3 linked regions of the Rhinolophus ferrumequinum genome follow. The protein of the gene in region 1 binds, or shares a complex with, the protein of each later gene. Links are inferred from orthologs where the notes say so. Each region holds a gene or a part of one and is shown in the gene's direction. Other genes may lie near its edges.

Region 1 (3,750 bases):
ACTTTGTGCTGCTCTGTCAGCTCATATTTCTCTTTCTCTGTGTCAAAGATCTCGCCCTCCTCATGTCTGGGCTTGTGCAGCTTCTTCTTCTTGAAGTAACAACCATCAGTGAGAGATTTGGGGATTTTCACACCACACTGATATCAATTTTGGTGGAGGTGGCGATGACAAATGTCTGGTGTGTTCTACCCAGAGGAACTCGATGAAGGGACAGAAGTCCAGTCACTGCCCAGCTGCTTCAGGAAAACCACCCTCTTGCCTCTGTGGTGCCCAGTGAGGATGACCAGAATGGTCCTGGGAGTGAGGCTGGACCCAAGTGTTCTCACATGCTGACTGAAGGGTTTCTTGCCAGTGACTCAACAGATTTCCAGGCAGATCTTCAATAGGATACTATCTGGGCATTTTGTGACGTTTAATCACTCGGGTGCCACTATTCTTGTTGCCACCAACTGGTTTTGTGCCAGTAGCAAGAACCTTCTTTTTCTGTTCAATCTTGGATTTAGCTGCTGAATACTTCCTCTTGTACATGGCCTTCAGGGAACACATAGCCGATGGAGAATAACTGCCGACTTCTCCGACCAGGACAGGGTTTCAGCTGCGGTGGGGCTTCCCCTTCTTAGGTGTTTTGCCCTTGGGTTACTTTTCTTAACCCTGCCACCAGCATCAGCCTGCTTGGCTTCAGGTTTCTTCTCCTTAATGCCGGGCTTCTCACCTTTTTCACCCTCCATCTTGCAAGACGGGAAAGAGCCTGTCCCCGATTTTCCTTGGTTAGCTTCACTATTTGTTCATTGATTTTTTTTTTTTTGCCCTCTCTCTCTCTCTTTCTCCATCAAAGGTTTAATTATCGAACAAAACATACCGTGTTTCTCCGAAAATAAGACCTAACCAGAAAAGAAGCCCTAGCATGATTTTTCAGGATGACATCCCCTGAACATAAGCCCTAATGCATCTTTTGGAGCAAAAATTAATATAAGACCCCGTCTTATGTTCGAGGAAACACTCCATACATTCATACCCTTTCACATTTACTTACAAAGCACCTTCCATCACTTACATCTCATAACACGCTGGAACACGCTGGAAGGGCAGTGGCGAGGCGCGTGCGCCCCCTACCGACGCCCAGGCGCATTGCAGTTTTGCCGGCGCTCAACCGCTAGGGTCCCGCCTGTCAGAAGCTCCAGAGAAGGTCCAAGTGCAAGTGTCCGCGCAGGGCTTCCTGGGAAATGTGTCGGGTGTACATGTCAGAACTGCAAATCCCGGTAGGCACCGCGCTGCGGCCCGGAAGATGAGGGCGCTCGGGTGAATCTGAATCTCGCTTGTCAGTGCCATTGGGAATGCTGCACAAGCTGCATTCAGTATTCGCCGAGGTTTTTGGGAAACGTAATAGTTCTTCCGCCAGGTGCGCACGAATGGACTTTGCTTCCGTAGCTTCCTCGGACTCGCTGGACGTGGCGAATCTACCGTGGTGGCACAGTGGTTGGGCGCGCAAGGCCCCAACGTGCAGCTTGTGTAATCTGCTGTGGGAAGGACGTCTGGGTTTCTTGGGCCGCTAGTCATGGCGGCGACAGCCCCCAGTGCCGGGGGCCCCGCGCCCGAGGCGGCCGGCTCCGCCGAACCCCCGCTGCAGTACAGCCTTCTTCTGCAGTACCTGGTGGGTGACAAGCGTCAGCCCCGGGTCCTGGAGCCCGGAAGCCTGGGCGGGATCCCGAGTCCGGCCAAGAGTGAGGAGCAGAAGATGATCGAGAGAGCGATGGAAAGCTGCGCCTTCAAGGCAGCGCTGGCCTGCGTGGGAGGTGAGGCAAGGCGAGGGGGACCCTTGGGAGGCTGAGGGCGTGGATGGCAGCGGGTTCCTCTGCCAAGAAGACCACGCGCCCGGGAGGCGAGGAGCCTGTGGGCCTCGAAGGGGACTGCACCCCGGCCTCGTTCAGGGAGCTCGAGCAACCCTCTCTAGACCCTCTGGAAACTGGATCAGAGAATCGGTGCTATGGGTCGGGGCCTGGAGGTTATAAAATAGTTGACTTCATTCATCATTCGGTCATTCACTTTCAAATAATCATTCTTTCAAAAACTTGTTAGTGGGTAGGTATCACGTGCCAGGCGGTGGAGAGACAGGGTGAGAGACTAGAGCTTGGTTCTCAGGAAGCTAACACCCCTCTCTATATATCCGAGGTGCCAAAAAAATGTATACAAGGGGACACTTTGGTCAACTGTTGCTCAAGCAGTAGTAGTTCACCATAACCAGAAGTGTCTGGACGCTGATGGTAACCACTTTGAACACCGCTTGTAATTGCAGACGTTAAACGTGACTTGTATTTATCTTTTGTTATCGGTATGTATTGAGTATTACAATTTTAATAGTTTTTCCTTTCTTAACATGTGTATGCATTTTTTGTGGCATTCTCTGTATATCGAAGAATGTTGAGGAGCCTGGCAGAAGAGTGCAGCAGACATAGGAACGAGTGCAAAGGAACCGGCTTTAGTTTGAAAAACAGAAAAGGCCAGTGTGGCCAGAGTGACTAGACAGTAGTGAACAAGGGGGAAAGAAGTATGGACTTGGCTTTTTCTTTAGCCTTGTGAGGATTTGAGAATGTGGTGTCCTTCCTGTGTGGAGGGTAAGGAGGTTGACCACATTTGCAGATGAGTTGAAATCTCATTAAGAATGAAAGACAAACGAATGTGGTGAGAGTGGAAATGTGAAATATAGTAGAAAGAAGAAAGAGAGAACTTTTTGTGGTTTGGGGAAGGCCGCAAGAGGAGGTGAGACTGGAACTGTTGAAGGATGGAGAGAATGGGGTGGACACAGAGGAAGAGAATTGTCATTTCAAGTTGGGGGTAAAGTAGGGGATTTGGGCATTTTGTCGATAGGCATTAGGACAGTCATTGATGATTTTTTTAGAAGAGTAACAACTGGTAATGAACATCGTGATTCAGGATGGGGTGGGCTGAAGGAAAGAAGTCTGTGGATAGGGAGACCATATTGGAAATTGGCTAGACTGAAGCTCATGAGGAATGGACTGGGTCTTTGTTCATCATTGTGTTTGACCCTGATAAATCACATATTTGGTGAAATAAATGAGTCTTTGTAGTGCTCCAGGTTGGAAGTGATCAAAACCCTAGACTAGGATGATAATTGTGGACTTGGAGTTGTAGGGCAAACAAAAAAACGCCCCTGAGGTTTGGAGCTGGAGTGACTAAAAAGAAGGGGCAATAACAAGAAAGTCTGGAAGGGAGGTGACCATGATTTCATCAAACATATACCGTTTACCCTTGAACAACATGGGTTTGAGCTTCATGGATCCGTGTATACATGGATTTCTTTCAATATCTGTCCTGTTTTCGATCCTTGGTTGGGAGTCCATGGATGTGGTCAGCTGACTGTATGCATTGCTCTACACCATTTTATATAGGGGACTTGAGCACCCATGGATTTTACTATCCATGAGGAGTCTTGGACCCAATCCCCCCGAGGGACAGCTCAGTTTTTGGGGAGTCAAACGTTATATGTGGATTTTTGACTACGGGGGCCTTGGCACTCCTAACTCCAGCATTGTTCAAGGGTCAATTGTATTGGCCTGGAGGTGATGAGAGGACATCCATATGGAAATGTCCAGCAGGCTCAGGAAGGTCCGATGTGGACAGCAGTGTGGCGTTTGCCATTTGGTAACTTTGTGACTTCAGGGAAGTTACTTAACCTCTCTGAGCCTCAGTTTCTTCAGCTACAGAAAGGAGAGTATAATAGTATCTACCTTG
Region 2 (3,536 bases), on another chromosome or scaffold:
ATCCTCTGTATACGATGTCCCCTGTGCCTGGAACACACTTATGCTTCCTTCCACTCTGCCCTGACACGTCTTCCTTTTTCTTTACGTCTCAGCAAATCCCTCACCTCCTCCAGGAGGCCTTTCTCTAACCTAACATACCAGGCGCATCCCGTGTTTCCAAAAGCCCCCGTCATCACGTCATAATCCTTATAGCGTCATAATCCTCATAGTGCACCTGTTACTTCTGCTAGCCTGGGTGTAAGCTCTTGTTCTCCACATGTGTATCTCCAGCAACTTGCCCAGGTGCACAGGAAGCGCTCAGTAAATAGTAGCTGAACCCTAAGCGTGACTCTGAGCCCCTCCCACCAAGGTTCCCGGGCCTGACCTGCGAGGTATCCACGTCAAAGAAGCTCTGATAGTAGTCAAAGGTCCAGAATCCCGGCTGCTGCTTCTCCTCCTGTAGAAGCTGCACAGTGCGGGCTTTCAGTGACTACCCTTCCAGCCTGGGTCAACGGGGGGCTGGACGGAGGCGGGGCACAGGGACTTATGTGACTCACCGAAGTCTTGTCATTTTCCTCCACCTCATCCTCAGCTCCCAAGCCCACAGCCACAGCCACGTGCCCCTGTGGGGTCAGCTGATCAGTTCTGCTGGTGGTGGCCGCATCTGGGGTCTCGGCCAACAGATTAGTGGCTTCCTCGAACTCTACCGAGAATAAATATGGGACACAGGCATGTGTATGAGGTCAAGACAATTGGGTTTGGTCCACTGCTCATCTGGGGTCCAAGACTAACCACGGTCATCCCAGTGCTCTCCCCAACTCAGGGCCTGGCCAATTTTGGGGAGTAGGAAGGTGTGTTCTCTCACTCCTAACAAGGGACTGCAATTGAGGGCTGGTTCTAGGATGGGGTCAGGTCTGGGGTAGTGGTCTGGGTTTGAGGTCAGAGTTCAGGGCTGGAGTGGGGTTTGAGTTAGGGCTCGGTTTCATGCCTGGAGTCAGGGTTTACAACAGACTGCTGCTCCTGTTAGATATGGGTTGGGACCTGGATAGGAGGTTCTGGCCAGGTCGCAGCCGCACTCACCATGGAAGGCTAGTTCGTCGGCCGCTGCCATGGTCGCTCAGGGGCATCACCGGACCTCGCTCTGAGGACAGAGGCCAATCAGGCCCGCCCGCAATCCCACGCGGCACCCTTCGTGGAGTCAGCCCCCAGCCGGGCCTGGCGGCTAACCGCACTCACCCGGGCGTGAACTCGCCGTCCCTGCCCCACAGGTGCAACACCCCCCTCTTTACCTGAGGCCGTCTCAGCTCGCGTGGCCAGGGGTTTCTGCGCCTGCGCGGCCCGCCTACTGGTCAATCAATCCAGCTCGGCCCAGAGAGCAACATCCGGAGCCTGTCCGTCTTCTATCCTCTTCCGATGGGAAGCCACTTCCGGCAATTTTAGCGCTTGCGCAGATAAGACTGCCCGGACCATTTACTTTAACACCTGGCGTTTCTCTTCGGAGAACGGTCGCTAAGCCGGAAGGGAATGGCGGCGGCCGCTCTGAAGAGACTTTGGTCGCGAAGCCGCGGACAGGTGGAGGACGCGGCGGCCTCTAAGCCAGGCGCGTGGGCGCGGTTGGGTGAGTAGCCGCTAGCAGAGGGAAAGGTAGCCGCAGCGGCTGGACCTCTCTCACCGCGCTTCTCTCCTTTTAGGCGTCTGGGCCCGCGCGCTGCTCCGGGACTACGCCGAGGCCTGCGGGGACGCGGCAGCGGCTGCGCGGGCCCGGCCAGTAAGGGCGGCCGTGTACGTGGGGTTGCTGGGCGGTGCGGCGGCCTGCTGCGCATTGGCGCCCAGCGAGGCATCCTTCGAGGAGGCGCTGCTGGATGCGTCGGGGACCCTTCTGCTCCTGGCGCCGGCCACGCGCAATCGCGACTCAGAAGCGTACGTGCAGCGGCTGCTCTGGCTGCGGGGCCGCGGTTGCCTGCGCCACGTGAACCTGGGCCTCTGTTCGCTGGTGTATGAAGCGCCCTACGACGCCCAGGCCAGTCTCTACCAGGCCCGCTGCCGCTACCTGCAACCCCGCTGGGACGAGTTCCCGGACCGGATCCTGGACGTGGGCTTCGTGGGCCGCTGGTGGGTGCTGGGGGCTCGGATGCGCGACAGCGACATCAACGACGACGAGTTCCTCCACCTGCCGGCACATTTGCGCGTCGTCGGGCCCCATCAGCTGCACTCGGAGGCCAACGAGCGGCTCTTTGACGAGAAATACCTGCCTGTCGTGCTCACCAACGATCAGGTGGACCAGGCGCTGTGGGAGGAGCAGGTGTTGCAGAAGGAGAAGAAGGACAAGCTGGCCCTGAGCCAGGTCGACTTGCTTATGCAGTCGGAGGGCCCAAGATGAAACACAGTGAGGGCAAGGTCCCAACGCAGCTACGAGCCCTGGCAGACTTTTTGCCCGGATTATGCAGTTGGTGTGAGTGAGCCTCAAGTGCAGAGTGACTGAATAACATGCAGAGTGTTCCCCCGCTGGGTTTTCATATAATTAGGGGGTCTTTTTTTCCTTTCACATCGTTCCTTGTTAGCTGAAGCTAATTCAGAGCCTTCTTGGTCTAGGAGTTGGGAGAGCAGAGCGACCATATGTTTATCACTGCCAGAATTTGTAATGAGCCTTACACATAAGTAAGCCTATTTCATTTGGCCTCACAGTCCCCTGGAGGTATAGTATATCTCTCAGGCCTTTCAGATTATTGTTTTAAATTTTTAGCTGTGATGTTTATACTCTCATGTTCATGAGTAACTTTTTTTTTTAATTTAATGTTGAAATAATTATAGTCCCATAGGAAACCGGAAAATAATACGGAGACATCCTGTTTCCCCTTTGCCCAGCTTCCCCCAAATGGTAACATTTTACATAAGCAATACCAAACTAGAGATTGACATTGTAGGACTGTTTGGATTTTACAGGGAAACTTTTTGCAAAAACAAGCTGCTTTTTACCATTTGCGAATTGATAGTGATATTAAAGAAACTTGGAAGGATAAAACGTTTTCTGAACTGGAAGTCTATATGGAATCAGACTCTGCCTTTGTTATACTATAGTAATGTTGAAAACAGAATCCTATGGAAAGGAATATGTTAGTGTGCATAGCTGGTACTTAGCTAGGTTATGGTAATCATACTTTAAAAACTAAATTATTAGAAGAATGAGACTAACGAGGTGGCCTGTGGCTAGTTAATAAAACCAGGAGATGAAACAGCCAGCTTTGTTACCATGTTTGTATTCGTGTGCTTTGCTATTAAGTTTTGGTAGTTGAACCTTCCATTCGTACTATGGGTGCATGCGACACATGGTAATTTTTATCCTTATTTTGGGGGCAGGGGAGTGTTTTCCAAGTCAGCATTTTCATTTTACAAAGGAAAAAGTGAGGTTCAAAAAGTTTGTTATTTTTCCAAGACTGTGGCAGAGCCAAGATTCAAACTGTAACTCCCAACCCTCTCAGTTAATTTTCAAATTCACAGCACCATCCTTGATCCTGATAATATCCTGCCAGAAATTAAGTACTGCTATCATTAGCCAT
Region 3 (2,887 bases), on another chromosome or scaffold:
AGAGAGCACACAAAGGAAGTCTGCACAGAATCAGAACAAAAATTTGTAAAAAGAAGGGAGTTAGATAAGTTAGGAAAGGCTACTGGAATAGGCCAGGGTTTATGAGTTGGGATTCCTAAATTGAACAATAAGGAGAAGAATCAAACAGATGCACCTGTTCCAGCCCATCATCCTCAGGAAGCTGCCCAGCTTCGCCGTTCCCATGGATGGGGATCTCCATTGTAGCTGCCTTCCCTAGGATCCCGTCCGTCATGGCTAGGGAAGGGACTGGAGTCAATGTCTCCACCCCAGCGCCCTGCAAAGCCCAACACAGATAGTTCTGGAAATTGGCCAGGACCACAGAAGAGAAATGTCTCCCCTACCGTTTCTGAGGTTTTAGAGGTTGTCCCAGGGGTAGAGTGTTCTGGAGTGTGGCTACCACTCCTTCCCTCAGATAGTGCGAGTATATGTACCTCTTCCCTCCAAGGTGCATATTTTTACACATGCTCAGGTGTCTTCTCATGACTCTCCAACTTCACCAGGACTCCGATGATTATTCATGCATTCGATCATTCAACAGACATTTAATGAGTGCCTACTATGTGTCATGCACTATTTGAGGCCGTGCAACACAGCAGTGAACCAGACAAAGACTGTGTTCTCCTGAAGCTCACCCCCACCCAGGTGTTTCTCCCCATCAGGAGATGAACCCCTTTCCAAGGCTCAGTATGTTCTCCATCGCTTAGCCTTTCAACACCCCTTTAGTGTTTCTTCCCCTTTCCTTCAGACCGTTCCCCCCTTCTCCATACCATGCACCTTCTCTTCCTCGGGCTCTTCCCACCAGGCCTTAGTTGATTCAGTTGGTTTATGTTCCCAGCCTCTGGGAAAGCCTCTTTTCCCCAGGACATAGGTGATGGCTTCCAAAGTCGGTTATGTTTCCCTAGGTGTGTTTCCCCCACCCCCCACCCCAATACACCTGGGCATCAGGTGTGTCCTCATCCTTTCCCAGGCTCAGAGGTATCTTGCCCTCAAGACAGGTTCATGCATTCAACTTCCCCTTGCCCAAGTATGGCCCTCTCACCTGAGGACAGGCCGCTCTTCCCCTCAGGGCGCCAGGCCCGGGCCGCGGGGGGACCTCGGGCTCCAGCTCCCGTCGCGATCCTAGCAGCAGGTCAGGGACTCGGAGGAAGTGACGTCCTCTCCCGGGCAGAAGAAGCCAGCCACGTCGCAGATTATAAGGGCGGAGGTGACGTTAGCAGCCGGGGGCAGGACGATCCTTGAGTCAACCCCTCAGTCCCTGGGGATGGACGACAGATAACTTCCGGGGCGTTACCGAGAAGCTGTAACGGAAGTGACGCAGGACGTGAGCTTGTGGCGGGATGGAGCAGCAGCAGCAGCAGCAGCAGCAGCTGAGAAACGTGAGTGGCAGCTCATGTGGCTTCAAAGCCCTACATTCAACTGTCCTCGCCGTCTGCATGGCGGGAACCCCAAAAAGCTAGGGATCCGAGGGCTAGGGACATCGGGCTGTGGTGCGCGGTCCTGGTAAACTTCAAGGCGCGGCCTTGAATTCAGGTGTGGGCCCCCTTATAGCTGAGTTCTTGGTCCCCTTCTCTCCTAGTTGCGGGACTTCCTGTTGGTCTACAATCGGATGACGGAACTCTGCTTCCAGCGCTGCGTACCCAGCCTGCACCACCGAGCCCTGGATGCCGAGGAGGTGGGGGACCGAGTAGGGGATTACTCTTCATCCTCAGAGTTAACCGTAATCTGCTTCCTTCCTTCCTCCACTGCCTTTGGCCAGGGCCTTTCCATGTCCCTCGCCCCTAGGTTGGAGATGGGAAGGAAGGAAACGGATCTGACAGGACACCTTTGGCCCCTGTTTCCACCCTGTCTTCCTTCCAGGAAGCCTGTCTGCATAGCTGTGCTGGGAAGCTGATCCATTCCAACCATCGCCTCATGGCTGCTTATGTGCAGCTCATGCCTGCCCTGGTACAGCGCCGCATCGCAGACTACGAGGCTGCCTCAGCTGTGCCAGGTGTTGCTCCTGAACAGCCTGGAACCTCGCCATCAGGCAGCTAGCCATCCCCAACCCCAGGAAGGGAGGCACTGGATGGCCCCTCAAATTGAAGGAGCCAGTGGACTGAGTGCCTACTATGTGTCATGCACTATTTGAGGCCATGCAACACAGCAGTGAACGAGACAAAGACTGTGTTCTCCTGAAGCTTATCCCCACCCATGTGTTTCTCCCCATCAGGAGATGAACCCCTTTCCAGGGACCTTGCTTGGGCTGGGTCCAGCCTGTATATAGAAAGTGAGGGCTTGCCTGAGAGCTGGGTACTGTGGCTCCAGGAAGAGTTAATAAACCTGCTTTTATTCTGTTTGGTTTATATTTTGGGCAGGGAAGCTTTGCCTACTTTATTAGCATCATCTTTTATTCTGTCAGTTAGTGAATATCTGCTGGCTTTAGCCCTGTCTGCAGAGAAAGTGCCTTCTTTGTATGGACGCAAACCTTAGCATTCCCAGGCACCTGGTTAAAGCAAGGTCTGTGGGTACAATTTTAAGGTTGGTAATAGCAACGGGAAATTGGTTCCTGCCCAGATGACAGAGAAAATGGGAGCTCTGTCTAGCTCTTCTTCACATAAATCTGACTTTAATGGCTCACTTGTGAGCCAGGTGTGCATTCATTTATAGCTATTTTCTTGTGGACTGTGTTTTACAGGAAGGAATTCTGCCAGATTTAGGGAAAGGAGGAGATGTCTAAGGACAGTAGATCAAGAAATCACAGGGTTTTTAGGCACTACCTACTGGGAAATCAGTAGCTCCAGGACAGAGATGAAACCTGTAAGAATTCAGGGGTGTTCTGGAACTTCAGCCATTTCCCCAAGTTGTTACTTTCTCACTATTTCCTGTC

The links.
Region 2: TIMM22 (region 1) and TIMM29 share a complex: the UniProt entries of both Homo sapiens proteins name them as parts of the TIM22 complex. The link is inferred for Rhinolophus ferrumequinum from reciprocal best matches to the Homo sapiens genes TIMM22 and TIMM29.
Region 3: TIMM22 (region 1) and TIMM10B share a complex: the UniProt entries of both Homo sapiens proteins name them as parts of the TIM22 complex. The link is inferred for Rhinolophus ferrumequinum from reciprocal best matches to the Homo sapiens genes TIMM22 and TIMM10B.

What each region holds. Positions count from the first base shown.
Region 1 is NC_046304.1:17,139,755-17,143,504, forward strand, and holds the start of TIMM22 (mitochondrial import inner membrane translocase subunit Tim22), read left to right. Parts: upstream 1-1,283; 5' UTR 1,284-1,555; coding exon 1,556-1,793; intron 1,794-3,750. UniProt on the Homo sapiens protein: Essential core component of the TIM22 complex, a complex that mediates the import and insertion of multi-pass transmembrane proteins into the mitochondrial inner membrane. In the TIM22 complex, it constitutes the voltage-activated and signal-gated channel.
Region 2 is NC_046301.1:39,497,994-39,501,529, reverse strand, and holds TIMM29 (mitochondrial import inner membrane translocase subunit Tim29), read left to right. Parts: upstream 1-1,390; 5' UTR 1,391-1,503; coding exon 1,504-1,597; intron 1,598-1,670; coding exon 1,671-2,359; 3' UTR 2,360-3,001; downstream 3,002-3,536. Other genes in the region: protein YIPF2, read right to left, coding at 365-445, 537-682, 1,060-1,090. UniProt on the Homo sapiens protein: Component of the TIM22 complex, a complex that mediates the import and insertion of multi-pass transmembrane proteins into the mitochondrial inner membrane.
Region 3 is NC_046294.1:45,327,820-45,330,706, reverse strand, and holds TIMM10B (mitochondrial import inner membrane translocase subunit Tim10 B), read left to right. Parts: upstream 1-1,311; 5' UTR 1,312-1,358; coding exon 1,359-1,397; intron 1,398-1,597; coding exon 1,598-1,693; intron 1,694-1,878; coding exon 1,879-2,055; 3' UTR 2,056-2,352; downstream 2,353-2,887. Other genes in the region: ARFIP2 (arfaptin-2), read right to left, coding at 155-253. UniProt on the Homo sapiens protein: Component of the TIM22 complex, a complex that mediates the import and insertion of multi-pass transmembrane proteins into the mitochondrial inner membrane.